2 linked regions of the Nothobranchius furzeri genome follow. The protein of the gene in region 2 interacts with the protein of the main gene of each other region in a biochemical or structural test. Links are inferred from orthologs where the notes say so. Each region holds a gene or a part of one and is shown on either strand. Other genes may lie near its edges.

Region 1 (3,651 bases), on a different chromosome or scaffold from region 2:
ACCAGATGCCCAAGCCACCTAAACCGGCTCCTCTTAATGTGGAGGAGCAGCGGGTCTACTCATAACCCCTCCCAGATGACCAAGCTTCTCACCCTACCTCTAAGGGAGAACCCAGCCACCCTGTGGAGAACGCTCATTTCAGCCACTTGTATCTGCAATCTCGTTCTTTCGGTCTCTACCCAAAGCTCATGACCCTAGGTGAGCGTTGGAACGGAGATGACCGGTAAATCTAGAGCTTTGCCTTCAGGCTCAGCTCTTACTTCACGGTACAACACCCGTATCACTGCAGACGCAGTGTTATTAGAACATTATTATTAATAAATAATAATAAATTATAAATGTGCAGGCTTATAACTGAAAGGCCTGCTAAGACTGTAAAAATAACCCTTTATGCACCAGAGTGGCGATATTGCGTTTAACGAGCCACAGCTGCAAATATTATCCTTCATGAAGTTATTACTTTACACCAGAATATAGTGGAGATGTGTAAATTCAATCTGAGCAACACTTTTGGGTGTTTCTATTGAGATTTTCAGAGTTTATAGAGTTTGAAAACTGCCTCTCGTCTGGACGAATATTATTATTTATTAGAGAGGAGAAACTTGCAATGCTGACAAGTCTGCTCTTTGCCTAGTAATGGCTGACTCTGATTCTGATTTTGAAGAGTAATATTCATCCTCTGATGATGATATTCACTCATCCACTGAGGAAGAAGGTGGCATTGCTGCTACGCGCATCAACAGTCTGTGGGCTTCATGTGGATCACACATGATCCAAAGCTTATTTCACCATGTTCAGGACATGGTGATGTAGAAAGGATGCTAAAAACATTGCTAACAAATGTAGTGGGAATGTAAAAGAAGGGAAAATGGCCAGGCAGATGTGGTAGATGTGAAACTGAAAGTAAAAAGTGTGTTACGTAATTGATATGAACATGCCAGCGATCGTAATAAAACAGCATTACTAAATGGGGGGGAAACTTTACTTTAGGAATCGGCACAAATTGACAATTTTTATGAAGCAGAAAGAAACTAAAACAGGGTTCGCCTGACAGCCTCTTTTGGCTTTGTTGTTTCGACGATGTAGGTGTTTTGGCCAAAAATTGAAAATGCTCTTTTGGGTCATTTTCGGTCGATAATTTTCGGTGCATCTCTAGTTTTTATCTCAACGGAGATCCTTTGTCTTTCACACGTTGTTTGAACATGTACGTCTGTTTAAGGATGTGGAACAACCTTTCAACAATTTCCTTTAATTGGACTCACCTGAAAAACTAATGATCACAGGTGTCTAAGGTTGTTTTCAGTGATCCAAAGAGCCCTGAGCTGTAGTAAGAGTTTAAATGAGAAACAAAAAATCATGCCATCAAAAGAAATTTTAAAAAGTAATCATTTGGAACGCAGCATTTTTTAGTTCAGGCTCTGAATTTGTTGACTACATCCCCACTGGGAATGTTTGTGAGACACGTCACGGAGAATGGAGGGTCACGCTAGAAAGCTGCGCCCCTCTGAGCAGGAAGTGCGACAAATAAATCAAAAGTTGATTGTTTTTAAGGTGTGAGGGTTTTCTGTGGTTTTATGATGATGTGTCTGGACTCAGTCTCTCCTCTTGTCTTCCTCCTAAGGACTCCTGGCGTCTCTACAGAGCACCCTCAGCAACCCCAACCTGCAGTCGTCACTAAGCAACCCCAACATCCAATCATCACTCAGCAGTCATTCTTTTTCCAACTCTCTAAGCTCCGCCTCCCTGCAGTCGTCGCTAAGCAACCCATCACTGCAGTCATCACTCAGCTCCTCCCCCTCCCTGCCGTCCTCCCTCAGCAGCCAATCACTGCACTCGTCCCTCAGTAACTCCTCCCTCCAGTCTGGCAATAGCTATAGCGGAGTGGGCGGGGTAGGTTCAGGCTCCTACACACCAATGCTCACTGGTCAGGGCCAGCCATCACTCAGCACGTCGCCACGGAGACGAGCCCAGCTGTTACCCCTCATCCTGCCTGTGGGAGGAGAGTCACGGAGGCATCACTCCAAACAGTTCTCCCCCACCATCTCCCCCACTCTGTCCTCCATATCTCAGGTAAGAACACACCTGCAGTTTGGTTTAAATCTCAGCTCAGAGCTGGAATTTTTATTGAATTTAATGTTCTGGTTTCCATAGAAACCATGTAATGCCACCGGTCACTTTGAGTTGCACGTGTATTTTCTTCAACCCTATCACCTGCTTTAGCCACAGGAAGGAAAAAGACGGGAAAAGAATGGGGTCAGAAAAAGCCCGTCTCTTCTACGTCACATGGACTATTAGCTTCCATGGCCCCGCCCACCTGGGCTTCTACCTGGTACAGGAGGCACTACAGGACAGCAGATTAATTTCTAACTGTTTATTGCAACTTCAAGCATTATGTTCATCACCATGAATGTTTTGCTATTTTAGGAGAAAGTGAAAGTTTACATTCAGATGTTGCCAACGATCAGGAAGCAGTAGTTGTTCTATTTCCTCTTCGTTCTCTGAGTCAGGATCACATAAATGAGCTTATCAGTAAAGACATTAGCGTCGGATTACCAGTGATGGGCAAGTTACTTCTAAACTGTAATGCATTATTTATTACTTGTTACCCTCATTTTAAAGTAATTCATTACATTACAGTATTACTGATTTTAAAATGTACGGCATTACACTACTTTTGCATTACTTTAAGTTACTTTCACCAAAACAGCTTCAATATGAATCTGGTAATCTGACGCTCAGTGAGCTCATCATGACATACATGTGGAAAGTGATGTGGTGTCTGAGCTAGGATTGCTGTTAAAAACTGTCAGATATAATAACAGTGCTTTAAAATGATTGTTTATTAAATAAAAGCAACAACAATCTGTACTCTCAGCACGCTGCCATCTTATGTTATCTGAGCAGGGAGTGAGGTGGTGGGGGCTCCAAGCCTATATTTACCTTGGTCCCCAAATGCCTTGATACGGCCCTGGATGTGGGACTGACTTCTGGGGTGATCTGATTCTATCACATGTATAAATATTAAATGCTTATGTGTATTATTGCTTTTCACTGGTAAAAATGTGTATTGGGGATAAATCTGCCTACTTTTTTCTTTTCAAGCACTTTGTTTTGTTTTCTTTATTTCATTTGAATAATTTCCGGCCCTTTCTCTCTAACCTTCCTGCATGCTGCATGTTTTCACCGTCTTCCAGAAAAACTGTTTCTTAGATTTCCTACTTTCTACCTGATCAGCCAAAGGGATCTACCAAACTAAAAAAAAAAAAAAAGCTCAATATGCGCTGCGCTCCAGCAGCAATGAGTTGAAATCACCGGGGCACAGATTATGAACTCAGCTGAAAAGTACATGAAGTACCAGAGAATATGGGCTGATATAAACGATCGCAAACGAATTACTTTGTTGTGGTGGAGCGATTTTGTGAATATAACAGCGGCCGCGCACAGGACGAAGCTGGAGTATTTGAGCCATTACCGCTGCATCCTCTCTGCTCATAGAATGCCCACAAAGCTGAGTCCATAAATGATGTCATATATGTGGATACAGGATCTTTTTTCAGGCTTCCTGCAAATTGAATTTTTAGGAAACCCACATCTTGATTCTGGGTTTTAAAATGCATTGTAATTACTGCGTTACTGACAATTGTACCGAGT
Region 2 (3,651 bases):
GCAAATTTGGAAAATATTAGCTTAAAACATTATTTTTCTTGCCTCTTAATGTTCTAATATAGTATAGCTGTAAATACATTGTGGAGGGGACGAAAACTTGCGTATTTACAACAGAACACCACTGGTGTCAGGTTCTCCACTCAATAATATCAGAGAAGAAGAAACAGCCGGCTGCTACCACTTCAACTTCAGGACATACTACCAGAGTCCCAAAAAGCAAAACACCGTTTGAATTTACGGAAAACAAAAGACTCTTGGACCTAGTAAACAGTGACTGGTGTTTAGCACCATCTTGTTTTCTCTGGCAACGTGGGTTTCTGATTCTGGCAGAAGCATCTAGGGGTGGGGTGTGTGTTCTGTGACCGTGTTCAAAACCTAGCTTGTTCTGTGGATTTGCTGTAGCAGCTTTAAAAGCTGAAGGGATAACATTTATTTTCATTTCTGAACTGGACGAAATGGAAAGATAATCATCCTTAAATCAGATAAATTCTAACAAAAAAGATGAGAAAAGGAGTGAAGGTGGTGTGATAATAACTGGGTTTGGTGAATGCTCTCAGTGATTTCCCATTGTTTAACTCACATATTGGATTTAAATAAAAATTGACGTCTGCGTGTGTTTTTGAGCTTCTTCTCACCGTCTCTTCTCTGAAGACGAAAATGTAAAGTCTGTCGTTCTGCAGACGGCCAATCGGAGCCCAGCACTGATGACCTCATGTCAGTCTCCAGGGGAGGTTGCCTCATACAAAGATCCATTTCTTCAATGTGCAAAAATGTGGATCTTAAGCTGCGATACACAAACCCTCCATGCAGACGTTCCTGATCAGTGCACTTCATTCATTCTGCACATCATCTTTGAAACGTTTGACACTTTTAGCTGTTTATTTGTTTCTGTTTTTGCAGCAACTACTGTAGAGCTGTGTCTCTTTCTGAGCTTTTATTATATAATCTGACTTTTGTGTCTTCAATCTGCTTGCCTCTGCTCTTTGACCCTGTGTAGATTTTGGATTTGGGAACTTCTTCCAGCCTGGAGAGCCTCTGGCCACATGGTGCGGCAGCCCGCCTTACGCAGCTCCTGAAGTCTTTGAAGGACAACAGTACGAGGGCCCGCAGCTGGACATCTGGGTAAGATGTCTGATTGCTTAAAGATCAAAAAACTCCTACAGGAAGTTGAACTTTCACCAGTCTGTGGTTGATTTATGGAGTGTTTCTGCCCTGACTTTGCTCCCTGCGTGTGTGTGTGTGGTTTCTAGAGTATGGGGGTGGTGCTGTATGTGCTGGTGTGTGGTGCGTTGCCCTTTGATGGGCCCACGCTGCCTGTGCTCCGACAGAGAGTCCTGGAAGGAAGGTTTCGCATCCCCTACTTCATGACTGAAGGTGAGGAGACACGGTCTTTGATCTGGGATTTAAAACACACATGAAGATAATGAAATCAAGTCCAAAACCTCACCCCGCCACTTTACAGTCTTATAAATGCACCCTCACTCTGCATATAAAAACATCATGTTTCAAGTGCCTTTGCTGGTCGGCTCTCGTGCAGCACCACAGTTGTTACCCGTAGAGCTTTGTGCTAATTTAAAGGGAATGCAGTACGGAGCACTCCCGTCGGTGTCGGCTGCAATTTTTGTTGGAGGGGTTGTGTGTGCACGCAGGCTGGAGAGTCAGTCAGGTTAACTGGGTGTCTCGCAGCATCCCTGCTGATTGCATTCATTCCTGCTTGCTGGCTGGAGATTAAGTCCAGAGCTGGAGCTGTTTATGTAACCTGGGAAAGAGCCAGCGAAGCCCTCCAGCTGCTCGTCCGTCCGTCCCTCTCAGAAGGCTTGGTGATTCTGTTTGAGTCATACTCCCATTGTGTGAGACGTCCTCCTGTCAGTCCGTGTCTCTCTAGGAATCTGATGTCTCCACTCAGGGTGTGGCGAGGACGTTTTTTAGTTTATTTATTTGGCAGCGAATGTAAAAGTGTAGTATCAGCACTTGGATCAGACTCCAGGTCCAACCCTCGTTCCCTGAACTTGGAGAACAGAGTGTGCTGATTTCTTCATCCAGAAACGTTCCACCTCATTTCTTCACGTTGATCTCGCCGCTAACACAGCCTTGCACCGTAGACTCTCACTGGAGCTTCCGATCACTGTTTACTCCGGATTTATTAACCCCAAATGTCATAGTCTACATCCGTTTCGAGCTTGATTACTTCTTTTTCCTGTCCGCAGTTTTGTTTTAAAGCTGCAATTTGTGTGAATTCTTTTAAATCCACATTGTGCAATGAAAAATTTGCACTTTTAACTCACTCCTGCTGCTGCTGCTGCTGCCCCCTTCCTGGAGGACACACTGCAACTCTACACCACTGGAGCGATACTCGTGTTCAGTGGGATGGTTTTGTGTTTAACTCACGGCGGTGTAAAGTTCTTTCTAAGAACAGCCTGTCAATCAGTGAGCCAGCCACGCGGCTTCACGGAGTCCGCTCCTTCCTGGTTAAGAGAGTTCAGCCTCAGCTGTGACCAGACCGAAGTGTGACGACGTTCTGGGTCAAGCCAGGTGTACGGGTGTTAAACTCTTGTTAGGAGCTGCTTTTGCCTCAGCAGCTCTCGCTGCTTGTAGGCCACGGTGTGAAGTGAAAGTACAACAAAAATAGGAAAACAAGCATTACTTAGAAGTAAAATGCTGTTAGTAGATCAGCGCTGTGAGTTGAAGAATGTGCAGCAGGGTGTTAATGTCAGCTGCTCGGTTTTTACTCAGTTAGTGGAAAATCAAGACGTTTCATGGTTATTTAACTTGGAACCCCAGTTTTGGTCTTTGAGACTAATACAAGGTGATATGAAGACGATTGGGGGATGTTACACAGCCCGTGTTCTCCAGACCCCACTTGTTTTGCTTTAAGACGGCAGCAGTGGAGTGAGTGGGCAAGAATGCAGGGTGCAGCCATGTCGCAGCGCTGCAGCCGCAGGAACTGTAATCCCGTTAAGATCCCAGCTGTGTCTGACGTCAAACTCATCAAGCCTCTAACTAGAGGTGAGCAGCTCTCATTAGCAAGGGAGGGAAAGTAGAAAAGAGTGTTCATGCTGTTCACAAGTGACGGCAGGAGCAAATAAGAAAGGAATGTCAGCTTTTACGTCCTTGAAGTGTAATTTCTGCTCCATCGATGCTAATTAGAAGATGTTTCTGAAATCACAGAAGCTCACCCTTCTCTTTGCAGACTGTGAGCATCTGATCCGCAGGATGTTGGTTCTGGACCCGTCCAAGCGTCTGTCTCTGGCCCAGATCAAGGAGCACAAGTGGATGCTGCTGGACGTCCCCGTGCAGAGACCAGTCCTTTACCAACAGTCTCTGTCCACTGAGGGCGAGACAGGTGTGGGAGAGTACAGCGAACAGGTGCTTCGCCTCATGCACAGCCTCGGCATCGACCAGCACAAGACTATCGAGGTAAAGGACCGAGCTGGAGCCATGAGACGGGTCCACCCACATTAAAGATGAGAAAAACAAGCTGTAAACACTGTAAACTACAACATAATCCACAAATTGTAGTTTCAGATCTCACACCAACACTTAGATCCAATAAATATAAATTCTTCTGTAATTATTTAATGAGAACAATCCAATAAAAATAGTTTGAGACTTTTATTTTTCCATCTTGCACCAATTTTTAATAATTCCTTA

Evidence for each region.
Region 1: of the proteins of sik2b (region 2) and CREB-regulated transcription coactivator 2, one has a biochemical effect on the other in vitro, tested with the Homo sapiens proteins (2 studies listed by BioGRID). The link is inferred for Nothobranchius furzeri from reciprocal best matches to the Homo sapiens genes SIK2 and CRTC2.

Annotation. Positions count from the first base shown.
Region 1 is NC_091745.1:59,165,700-59,169,350, reverse strand, and holds part of CREB-regulated transcription coactivator 2, read left to right. Parts: intron 1-1,621; coding exon 1,622-2,070; intron 2,071-3,651. UniProt on the Homo sapiens protein: Transcriptional coactivator for CREB1 which activates transcription through both consensus and variant cAMP response element (CRE) sites.
Region 2 is NC_091753.1:40,077,294-40,080,944, forward strand, and holds part of sik2b (serine/threonine-protein kinase SIK2), read left to right. Parts: intron 1-997; coding exon 998-1,122; intron 1,123-1,250; coding exon 1,251-1,374; intron 1,375-3,190; coding exon 3,191-3,417; intron 3,418-3,651. UniProt on the Homo sapiens protein: Serine/threonine-protein kinase that plays a role in many biological processes such as fatty acid oxidation, autophagy, immune response or glucose metabolism.